Drosophila melanogaster: one gene and its partner. The protein of the gene in region 1 purifies or fractionates together with the protein of each later gene. This does not show direct contact. Each region holds a gene or a part of one and is shown in the gene's direction. Other genes may lie near its edges.

Evidence for each region.
Region 2: the proteins of sinu (region 1) and wrm1 purify together in Drosophila melanogaster (affinity purification with western blotting, with the first as the bait; one study listed by BioGRID). This does not show direct contact.

The regions. Positions count from the first base shown.
Region 1 is NT_037436.4:5,558,668-5,563,429, reverse strand, and holds sinu (sinuous), read left to right. Parts: upstream 1-1,831; 5' UTR 1,832-1,934; coding exon 1,935-2,678; 3' UTR 2,679-2,684; intron 2,685-2,748; 3' UTR 2,749-3,960; downstream 3,961-4,762. Other genes in the region: ScsbetaG (Succinyl-coenzyme A synthetase beta subunit, GDP-forming), read left to right, coding at 35-164, 246-345, 559-1,528.
Region 2 is NT_037436.4:7,332,772-7,336,953, reverse strand, and holds wrm1 (wurmchen 1), read left to right. Parts: upstream 1-1,727; 5' UTR 1,728-1,874; intron 1,875-2,055; 5' UTR 2,056-2,118; coding exon 2,119-2,412; intron 2,413-2,484; coding exon 2,485-2,679; 3' UTR 2,680-2,685; coding exon of another isoform or gene 2,686-2,859; 3' UTR 2,860-3,410; downstream 3,411-4,182. Other genes in the region: eco (establishment of cohesion), read left to right, coding at 1-1,016, 1,079-1,283; wrm2 (wurmchen 2), read left to right, coding at 2,686-2,859; mus312 (mutagen-sensitive 312), read right to left, coding at 3,661-4,182.

The DNA.
Region 1 (4,762 bases):
CTTTGTCTTGGCTTTGTTTATCTTTCGATGATAGGTTCCCGTGCGCAACCTGAATCTGCTGGAGTTCCAGAGCAAGGATCTCCTCCAGAAGTATGGAGTGGCCATACAGCAATTCAAGGTCTTGAATAACTCCAAGGCAGATGCCGAGGTCGTCAAGACTTTTGGTAAGTGGAGGACGGAACCATGCCGGTGTTTATGTAATCCCTGGGCTAATTGGTGTTAAATGCTGTGCTTCTGTGTTTCAGAGTGCCCGGAATACGTGGTGAAGGCGCAGATTCTCGCCGGTGGGCGTGGCAAGGGAACTTTCGACAACGGATTCAAAGGCGGCGTCCATATCACCACCAAGTATTATAGATTAGGTCTATTCCGGCTATTCACATTCACATTTTATCTAAAAAATTAATATTATTTATGTTCTACAATATCATTTGTATATAAGATTAATCTTATCATTCTGCCCATATTGAAAATGATAAAAGTTTGTGAAAGCCAGAGTGTACCTTAAAAACACAAGTGATAAGACCAGCTTATACTAATAATTATTTAACATTTTGCCAGCAAGAGCGAGGTGCTTTCGCTTACCCAGCAGATGATTGGAAACCGACTGATAACGAAACAAACGCCCAAATCGGGAATTTTGGTCAACAAGGTCATGGTGGCACGCAGTATCAACATCACCCGCGAGACCTATCTCTGCATCTTGCTGGACCGCGAGCACAATGGACCCGTGCTGATTGCCTCACCTGCCGGTGGCATGGATATCGAGGCGGTGGCCGAGGAAACCCCTGAGAAAATTAAGACTGTTCCGCTAGACATTGGCAAGCCCATACCGGAGTCGACGCTCTTGGAGGTGGCCAAGTTCTTGGAGTTCAAGGGAGACTCTGTAAAGCGTTGTGCTGAGGAAATTCAAAAACTCTATACTCTCTTCAAAGCTGTGGATGCCGTACAGATCGAGATCAACCCGCTGGCGGAGACGGATAAGGGAGAAGTTATCTCCGTTGATGCTAAGCTCAACTTTGACGACAATGCCCAGTTCCGTCAGAAGGATATTTTCTCCATGGACGTCACCGAGGAGGAATCCGATCCCCGAGAAGTGGAGGCGGCCAAGTACAATCTGAACTACGTCGCCATGGATGGCAACATTGGCTGCTTGGTTAATGGTGCCGGCCTGGCCATGGCCACCATGGACATCATCAAGCTGAATGGAGGCGAGCCCGCCAACTTTTTGGACGTCGGCGGTGGCGTCAGGGAGGATCAGGTGGCCAAAGCCTTCGAGATCCTCACTGCTGACCCGAAAGTCAAGGGAATCCTGGTCAATGTCTTTGGCGGCATTGTCAATTGTGCCACCATTGCCAATGGCATTGTGGCTGCATCCAAAAAGCTGCAACTGAATGTTCCACTGGTTGTGCGACTGGAGGGCACCAATGTAAATCAGGCTCGCGAGATCCTGAAGAATTCGGGCCTGCCCATTCAGACAGCCAGTGACTTGGATGATGCCGCCCACAAGGCTGTGGCAGCCCTTAATTAGGGGAACGATTGAGGAGAGCATGTCTTCCAGAATGAAACGACGCTCATTAGCATTTACAACGGTTGGGCCTTTTAAGTATAAGTTTTTATCGACAATATAACCAAAATATGTTATATTCTATATAAAAAGCTTTTTATTTGATTTAAGAAGTACCTTAGCCATCTATCAAAAATTAATTAAATTTAAAATCATTTATTTCTTAATTTAAAAAATGTATAATCTAAATTGTTTAATTTACTGTTTTGAAATTTATTGGTACCGTAGCATTTGGTATTTATTTTGTGGCCCCATGGTATTCTGCGGTATTACCAGTGCGGCCACACTGCAGTCCACACCCAAACAGCAAACCAAACAAACATTTCCCCAGGAAACCAGCGAAATTCCAATAGAATTTCCCACTCAAAGGATGCAAAAACCATCCCACTTCGCACGCGAGGATTCCCAGGAGCACCTGCCCACCAGCCACACGCAAAACAGTCACACAGTGAACATGAAGAGACGCACACTATCCGGAAGTTGTGGCGTTGGCGTCTTCGTGTTCGCCTTTGCCTTCATCGTGATTGCGTTTGCAACGCCCAGTTGGTTGGTCAGTGATTACCGCATCACGGGCGCCAAGCTGGATCGCCTGGGATTGTGGGTGCACTGCTTCCGGTCGCTGCCGGACGTGAACGACGATAGCCAGCGGAGATTCTTCGTGGGCTGCCGTTGGGTGTATGACCCATTTACCACGGGTTACGATGAGATCCGTGGATTCCTGCTGCCCGCCTTCATGATAGCCACTCAGTTCTTCTACACTTTGGCCTTCATCGGGATGTTGGTATCTGCCATCGGAGTACTGGTCTTCATCCTGTGTGCTGGTCCGGATCAAAAGCACTTCATTACGCTCATTAAATCGTTGGGATATGTGCTTCTCGGTGCTGGAGTAAGTGCAGCCATTGCAGTGATTGTATTCGCTGGATTTGGCAACCGGAATGGCTGGATGCCGGAGCATGCGAACAATTGGTTTGGCTGGTCCTTTATCCTGGCGTGTGTGGGTACTGTGTTAACCCTGGTGGCGTCTACTTTGTTCCTCAGTGAAGCCCACGTGCAGCACAAGAAGAGAATTCAGTTCAAGGAATCTCAGACGCGATTTGAGCTGGTGCGCGGATAGTCGATGGTAAGTACTTGACTATATCCAAGTCAGGGTCGGTCGCTTAACCTTCTTGCATTGTCTATTTTAGCCGTGGCAGCTGGCACACTTGCACCAAGGAAAACACAAGCCAACCAAGAGGAAAACAAAACAAAAACATTCCGTCCCCTCAAAGAATTCTCACCCTAAACATTACAGTCGAACTTCTCTAAGGCGAAATATTCTAACTAACAGTTTCTGGTAGTGCACGTTTTTAAAGTTGGTTTATGTTCGTTTTATATTTTATTCAATGGTTTCCCTGTGCATAGGTTAAAGTATTCATGTCGGTAACATTCGTTTTATATTACCTTAAATCGTTTAAATAACTCCCCAACTGGCGGAGATTTCGAAAAATTTTAACGAACCAAAGTTATTTTGGATAAAAATAATTTTCGCCATATATTCATCGCTTCTCTCTAACATACCTAAAGAAATTAATTTTAGTTCAGAGAAGTTCGACTGTACTCGTAGTTTTTAATTTAAAAAGTTTATGCAATTGACGGCCGCACCGATTCACAAGCTTTCAGTTTTTGGTACTTATAATCATCCATCCAATCGACCAGATCAGTTCCAAGAGAAGACTGAATGTTTTTCCGAATGAAAACCAGAACCAAGCACAGCTAACATCAAACGAAGACGCTCAACTAGATGACTCATGTTCATGTAGAGTATTCTACAGTATTTGCATATCAATTTTCGCTCAATTAACGCCCAGACACAAAGAGCATACCCCTCCGCAATTGTACGTTTATTTTTTTCTTTAGCAAAAGTCGCAGGCTAGTCGGAACTAGCATCGAAATATTACACTCGTGCCTTAATTAGATAGAACTATTATGGTGTAGTTCGTAGTGCCTGAAAACAAATTATTGTTATAAACATACCTGAACGACTGACCTGCGACTAACCATAGAGATCATTGAATTGCATAAACTTCAGCTAAGCTAGTGCCTTAATTAAGTGACCCAGAGAAAGGTAAGCGAAACTCCGCCCATTAGTTTTAAGAACAAAACATTCCCTTTTGAACTCGAATATTCCGCACAAGTTACCTTCTTTTAAAGGTAACAATTAGGTCTGTATTAATCATCCGTCCTTTGCACGTATTTGTAACATTTTCTAAACCGAGAATTTAGCAATGTATTAAAGCAATACATACGTCTTTTACCGTCCCATATACAATAATATGTGTAACATTTTTATGTACAAACGACTTTTAGCTAAAGCGAAGAATAATAAAGTTTTTATTGTATACAACAGCTGAATGCATCTTTAGAGCGGGTTCAAGGCAGCTGGGCTCCAAAATGAGATCCGAAACAATGAATCTCCTCGCCAGTCAGCTTGGTGCATTCGACTTAGTTTTCCCATGGCGTTTGCATTTTGGGAAAACCGAACAAACTTTTCGTTGTCAGCTTTTGTTGCCGTTGAGGCAACTGGTCGGATATGCATCAGTTTGTTTGCAGTAACAACTGATATGCCAACCGATTGTGGGCTGCACCATGTGTCAACCCGGCGATTTCGAAGCTGCCTTTTTGTGTTGGGTTATTTGTTAATGATTGATGAAATAAGGTTATCTCAACGCATATCATTGGACTTTATAATGCGTTAAAATTGTAATTGTTCATCATATTTCGTTGTGACCTTTGATACCATAGTCTATTTAGAATAGCATATGAACATATAAGATTTTGATTGTATTGTATTCAACTTTATATCTTTGACAAGGCTACTTTCAAGTCTTAAGTTTTTCGAAATACTTGATTAATGGTGCATGGAGTAAAATATTTATCGTGCGAAGCTTCGGCCTTACGAACGTTCCAAAAACCCACAAAACTATTAGATCATTTTGTCAGCAATATCTGACTCGACTCAGGCACTTAAAAGTCTTTTAAATGGTAACCATAACAAATTGAAATATATTAATTTGCCTGGCTTATAAAGGCATAATTAGCAAGGCAGGTGGTGAGAAATATCGATCTAAAAAAACCCCACCCACGATCTTTTAAGCTCGACTTGGCAATGACATTCAGGTAAGGGAAGAGACAGAAAGAAAAATGTATCTTTTAAGCGAT
Region 2 (4,182 bases), 1.8 Mb from region 1:
GTGGATGCGATCCTAAAGAATCTGGACGATACGGTGGTTGATGAGATTGTAGAAGCGAATCCGGTGGTACAGGCAACGCCCATTGATGCGGAGGAGACGACCATGGAAACGGAGTCGCTACCGGATATAATTGAGTATGCCCCAGAGGCGAACGATGTGGAAATTGATCCCTTTGCTGAGTTCCGTCAACGTTTGCCATACCAAACCGATGATCCCAATGTCGTGGAGCAACAGCAAATTTTACTAGAGTTTCTCATTAGCAACAATATTTGCACCGAAAAGAACTTTGAGATATTTATTGCAAATCCGGATGACTACAAGGACGAGGCCAATCAAATTGTGGACAATTTATACATGGTGGTGAACAGCGAGGAGGCTGCGCAGCTTGCTCAGATGGAAACAGTGGAAAATACAGCGGTGGCCATTGCACCAAAACAGGATGCGCCAGCAGTAGAGGAAGTTCAGCCAAAGCTTTTCCCCATATTCACTCAACGCTTACAGCCCGTTGTCCAGAAATCGTTGCGGCGTCGGCCGGATACATCGATGAGATTGCTAACGGCGGCGGGTGGATCGAATCAGTACCAGATCGATGCTGGTCAAAAGGCCTTCGGAGCACGGCAGTGCCAGCAGTGCGGATTGGTGTACACCGTGCACGAGCCGGAGGAGGAGCTGCTTCATCGCGAGTACCACAATTCCATCCATGTGCTGCGCTTCAAGGGCTGGATCGACGAGGACATTGTGTCCGTTTATCCAGAATGGGCCAGCGACGGGCGCATCATACGGATCAACGAACGCGCTCCGACAGCTCGGCTCGACAGACTGCGGGATCTCATTGGTGTGGTGGACAAAGAGCTGGGCTATTCCTCGTACATTGTGCCAAAGATCTTTGTAGCCTTCATAGCAGTGCGCAAGCAGCAGATCGTAGGCTTCTGCCTGGTGCAGCCCCTCTCGCAGGCCCATCGTTTCATCCAGGTCGATGGCACGGACTACTTCAGCGAGGAAAGCTACCCGGCCAGGTAAGACATCCCCTACTGCATGCCCCTTCCCTTGTCAACGGCTAAAATGTGCCTTCTTTCAGCTGCGGCGTCTCACGCATCTGGGTTTCTCCGCTGCAGCGACGCAGCGGGATCGCCAGCAAGCTGCTGCGAGTCGTCCAGTGCCACACGGTGCTCGGTCAAGAGATCGCTAGGGAGTGCATTGCCTTCAGTACGCCCACCGACGATGGTCGGGCTCTGGCACGCCAGTTCACCGGGTTGGATAACTTCCTCACCTACGACCAGTGATCGGGGAAATCTATTGAAGCTATTGAATAGCTGGATTGTTTTTGAGTTAGGATTGCTTCGAAACCTGTAATAGTTGATAAGCAAGTGCGATTATGTTACTAGCGGCACGAAGACGCGCAATTTAACATGTTTACAATGGTGGTTTAATATGCCTGTTTTTACGCAATGAACACGATATTTTCTTCGAGTCGCATTAATTTTGAAAATATAGATTAATATTGTTTATCTTACGTGTCGGGTTTTAAAACATGTAAATTTGGTGTTACAAAAATAGCACATACGTTAATTTTTAAATTGTATGTTTATAAACATTGTTTAATATATTTAAATTCTAACAAATAACTTAATGTCTAAATGTATGCAGTAAAAAATTTACACAACCTGCACTTGCGATCGATGAATGGTTATCGATCGCTTGCAACCATGCGGCGAGTCCACAAAGTGCCATCACTAGCACACTGAGCCTGGCTTTTGGGCGTTGTTTTCGTAGCAGCAAAGTGGCTGAAATTAATAACATTTAAGAGCAGAAGTGTGTAACACACCTGAATGGGACTTGTGCCAATCTCAGTGACCACCAATCGCGCGCAAATGGTAAGTGCAATCCGCATATAAGCTGCTAAGTGGGGAGCTGCTGGTGCTGCTAGTTAGTTTACTTTGGTGACGCCACGCCCAATGTGACAAATTGGAATCGGTGGCAATTGGTTTCGGGGTGCAAGTGGCATGCAGCGTGGTGGTTGAACCGCTTTCTCACTCTTCTTCCCCTGCCCTCCAGACCATTGAGCATTGTGCAGCAGGCTATTGAGGCTCTTGCAAGTGACCACACCCCTATAAGACTATGTCCACAATCGAAGAGGAACGCAAGGCGTACGAAAAGAATCCCTACTTCACCGGCCACATCTACGGCAACTTCTCGCCGTTTTATGTGACCATTGCCATCTGCACGGTTGTCCTGGGCACGATCATAATACTGAACATTATCTTGGGCTGCTGCTCCAAGCATCGCAAGTACTGGCAGGACAGGCACACGGGCAATCGCTGGTTGGTTTCCATTTGGTCTGCCACGCCCCACAATCAGCCGCCATTGGATTTCACTGAGCTGAAGGACGCCTCATACTTTCAGCGCTTCCATGTGAGTATTCGGTTTTTTGGCCAGAGCCCGAAAAATCGTGGCTTATTGTTTGGAAACTATTACTTTTTCTAGCCCACAACCCATCAGCAAGTGTTCCCCGACGACGTTGTCATCGGCGTTGACGACTTGGAGCCCGTGCACTCGGCGCACCATCATCATCACCAGCAGCAGCACCAGCGTCCACCACGTCCAGAGGGTCGCACTTTGCACCAGCAGCGCCAGCGCGAGGAATACGTGGAGTTGCAGAAGCGCGAGAGCGACATCTAAGTAGCAATGGCTCTTTACTTCCTTTATCCCGCCGTGGCCGCCGTCGCCCTGTTCATCGTGGGCGTTATCATTGTCATGCTGCGCTACGGACCGCGTTTGTGCGGTTTGCGCCACCATGCGCTTCCCGATGACGAGGATCTGCGGGGAAAGACGTATGAGCATGAGATTAGCTATGCCTAATATTGGGGTGTTCAGGGGTGTCCCATTAATCCCATTCAACCAATGGGTATTGTTGGTGATTTCTTGGACAGCCCTGCCTTTAATTTACATACTTATACATGCCGGCAATGCTACGAATTGCTTCTTATATATCTCTCTCCCCCCAAAACTAATCCTAGCTACTGTAAGAGCCCACTAACCCGTCTGCACCCACCAACCATATCAGTTTTGCATGCAGTACAAATAGTTTCATTAGCAACCAGTTTTGTTCGAGCCGATTCCATTCCATTAATCGCAATCTGACAATGTGCCTTTCACGTAGAGACTCGTAAGAAATTTATACCGTCCAAGTGTCTTTTCTAGCGCCGTAAGATCGAATTGTATTTTTACATTTAATACCCATTTAGGGTAGTCTGTCTACAGATGCTGCATTTAATGTTGTCCAATATTCTACTCGTATGAAAATATCAGTGTCTTGTATCTACTACAAACTCTATACATTTGTATTCGTCCATTAGTTTTGTAATATTGTATTTTGAAGTTGCATCAAATAAATCTACGGCCCCCAAAATAATATTGTGTTTTTTAATCGTAGATGCTAGTGGGTAGCTTGAAATGGCAAATAGGAATGGTTAACAATGCTTCAAACAAAAGTGTTGAATGTATTTGAGTTTTATCAATTTTACATACAATAAATTTAGATCGCAAAATACCAAGTAACAATATCTTATTCAATAATACAATATAAGGTAAATACTAGAAAATAATTCAATGCATTCAAAGTTAGGTATAAGTACAATGAAATTCCATAACTTGTAGAATCTACTTCCTTTTAGAAGGCTTTTTTGTGTGCCTTCGCACATGACGCTCTGCTTGCTTGCCGGGAGCACCCAGTTCATAGCGAAAGATAATGCAACGCCGGTCGAAGAAGGTCTTCAGGTCCTTTGGATCGTATCGATGCCCCATGTGCTTCAGGTGCAAGTAAACTGCCTGCAAATCAATGGGTTCGTACGTGAGTACACTTTCGTGCAGTTGGGGATTGGCGCAGATGAGATTGTGCCAGGCGATGTGCAGTGGCACCAGCGGCTGTGGTGTCTTCTTGGTAACGTTCGTTTGCATGACAAAGGTCTCGAAGTCATCGCAAAGACTCGGGGCAAGGGATTGGGAAAAGCGCAGCAATTCCTCGCCCGTGGCATCGTTAAATGTTAAATCCTTTTTTGTCCCAATTGCCTTCAATGTTTTAGAGGTTGACTTTGCTACTTGCGAATGTGGTCTCTCCATAATCACAGGAGTTGACTTGGAACGCACAATTGGCTCAGATCTGGCTGGTAAATCCTGAACAGC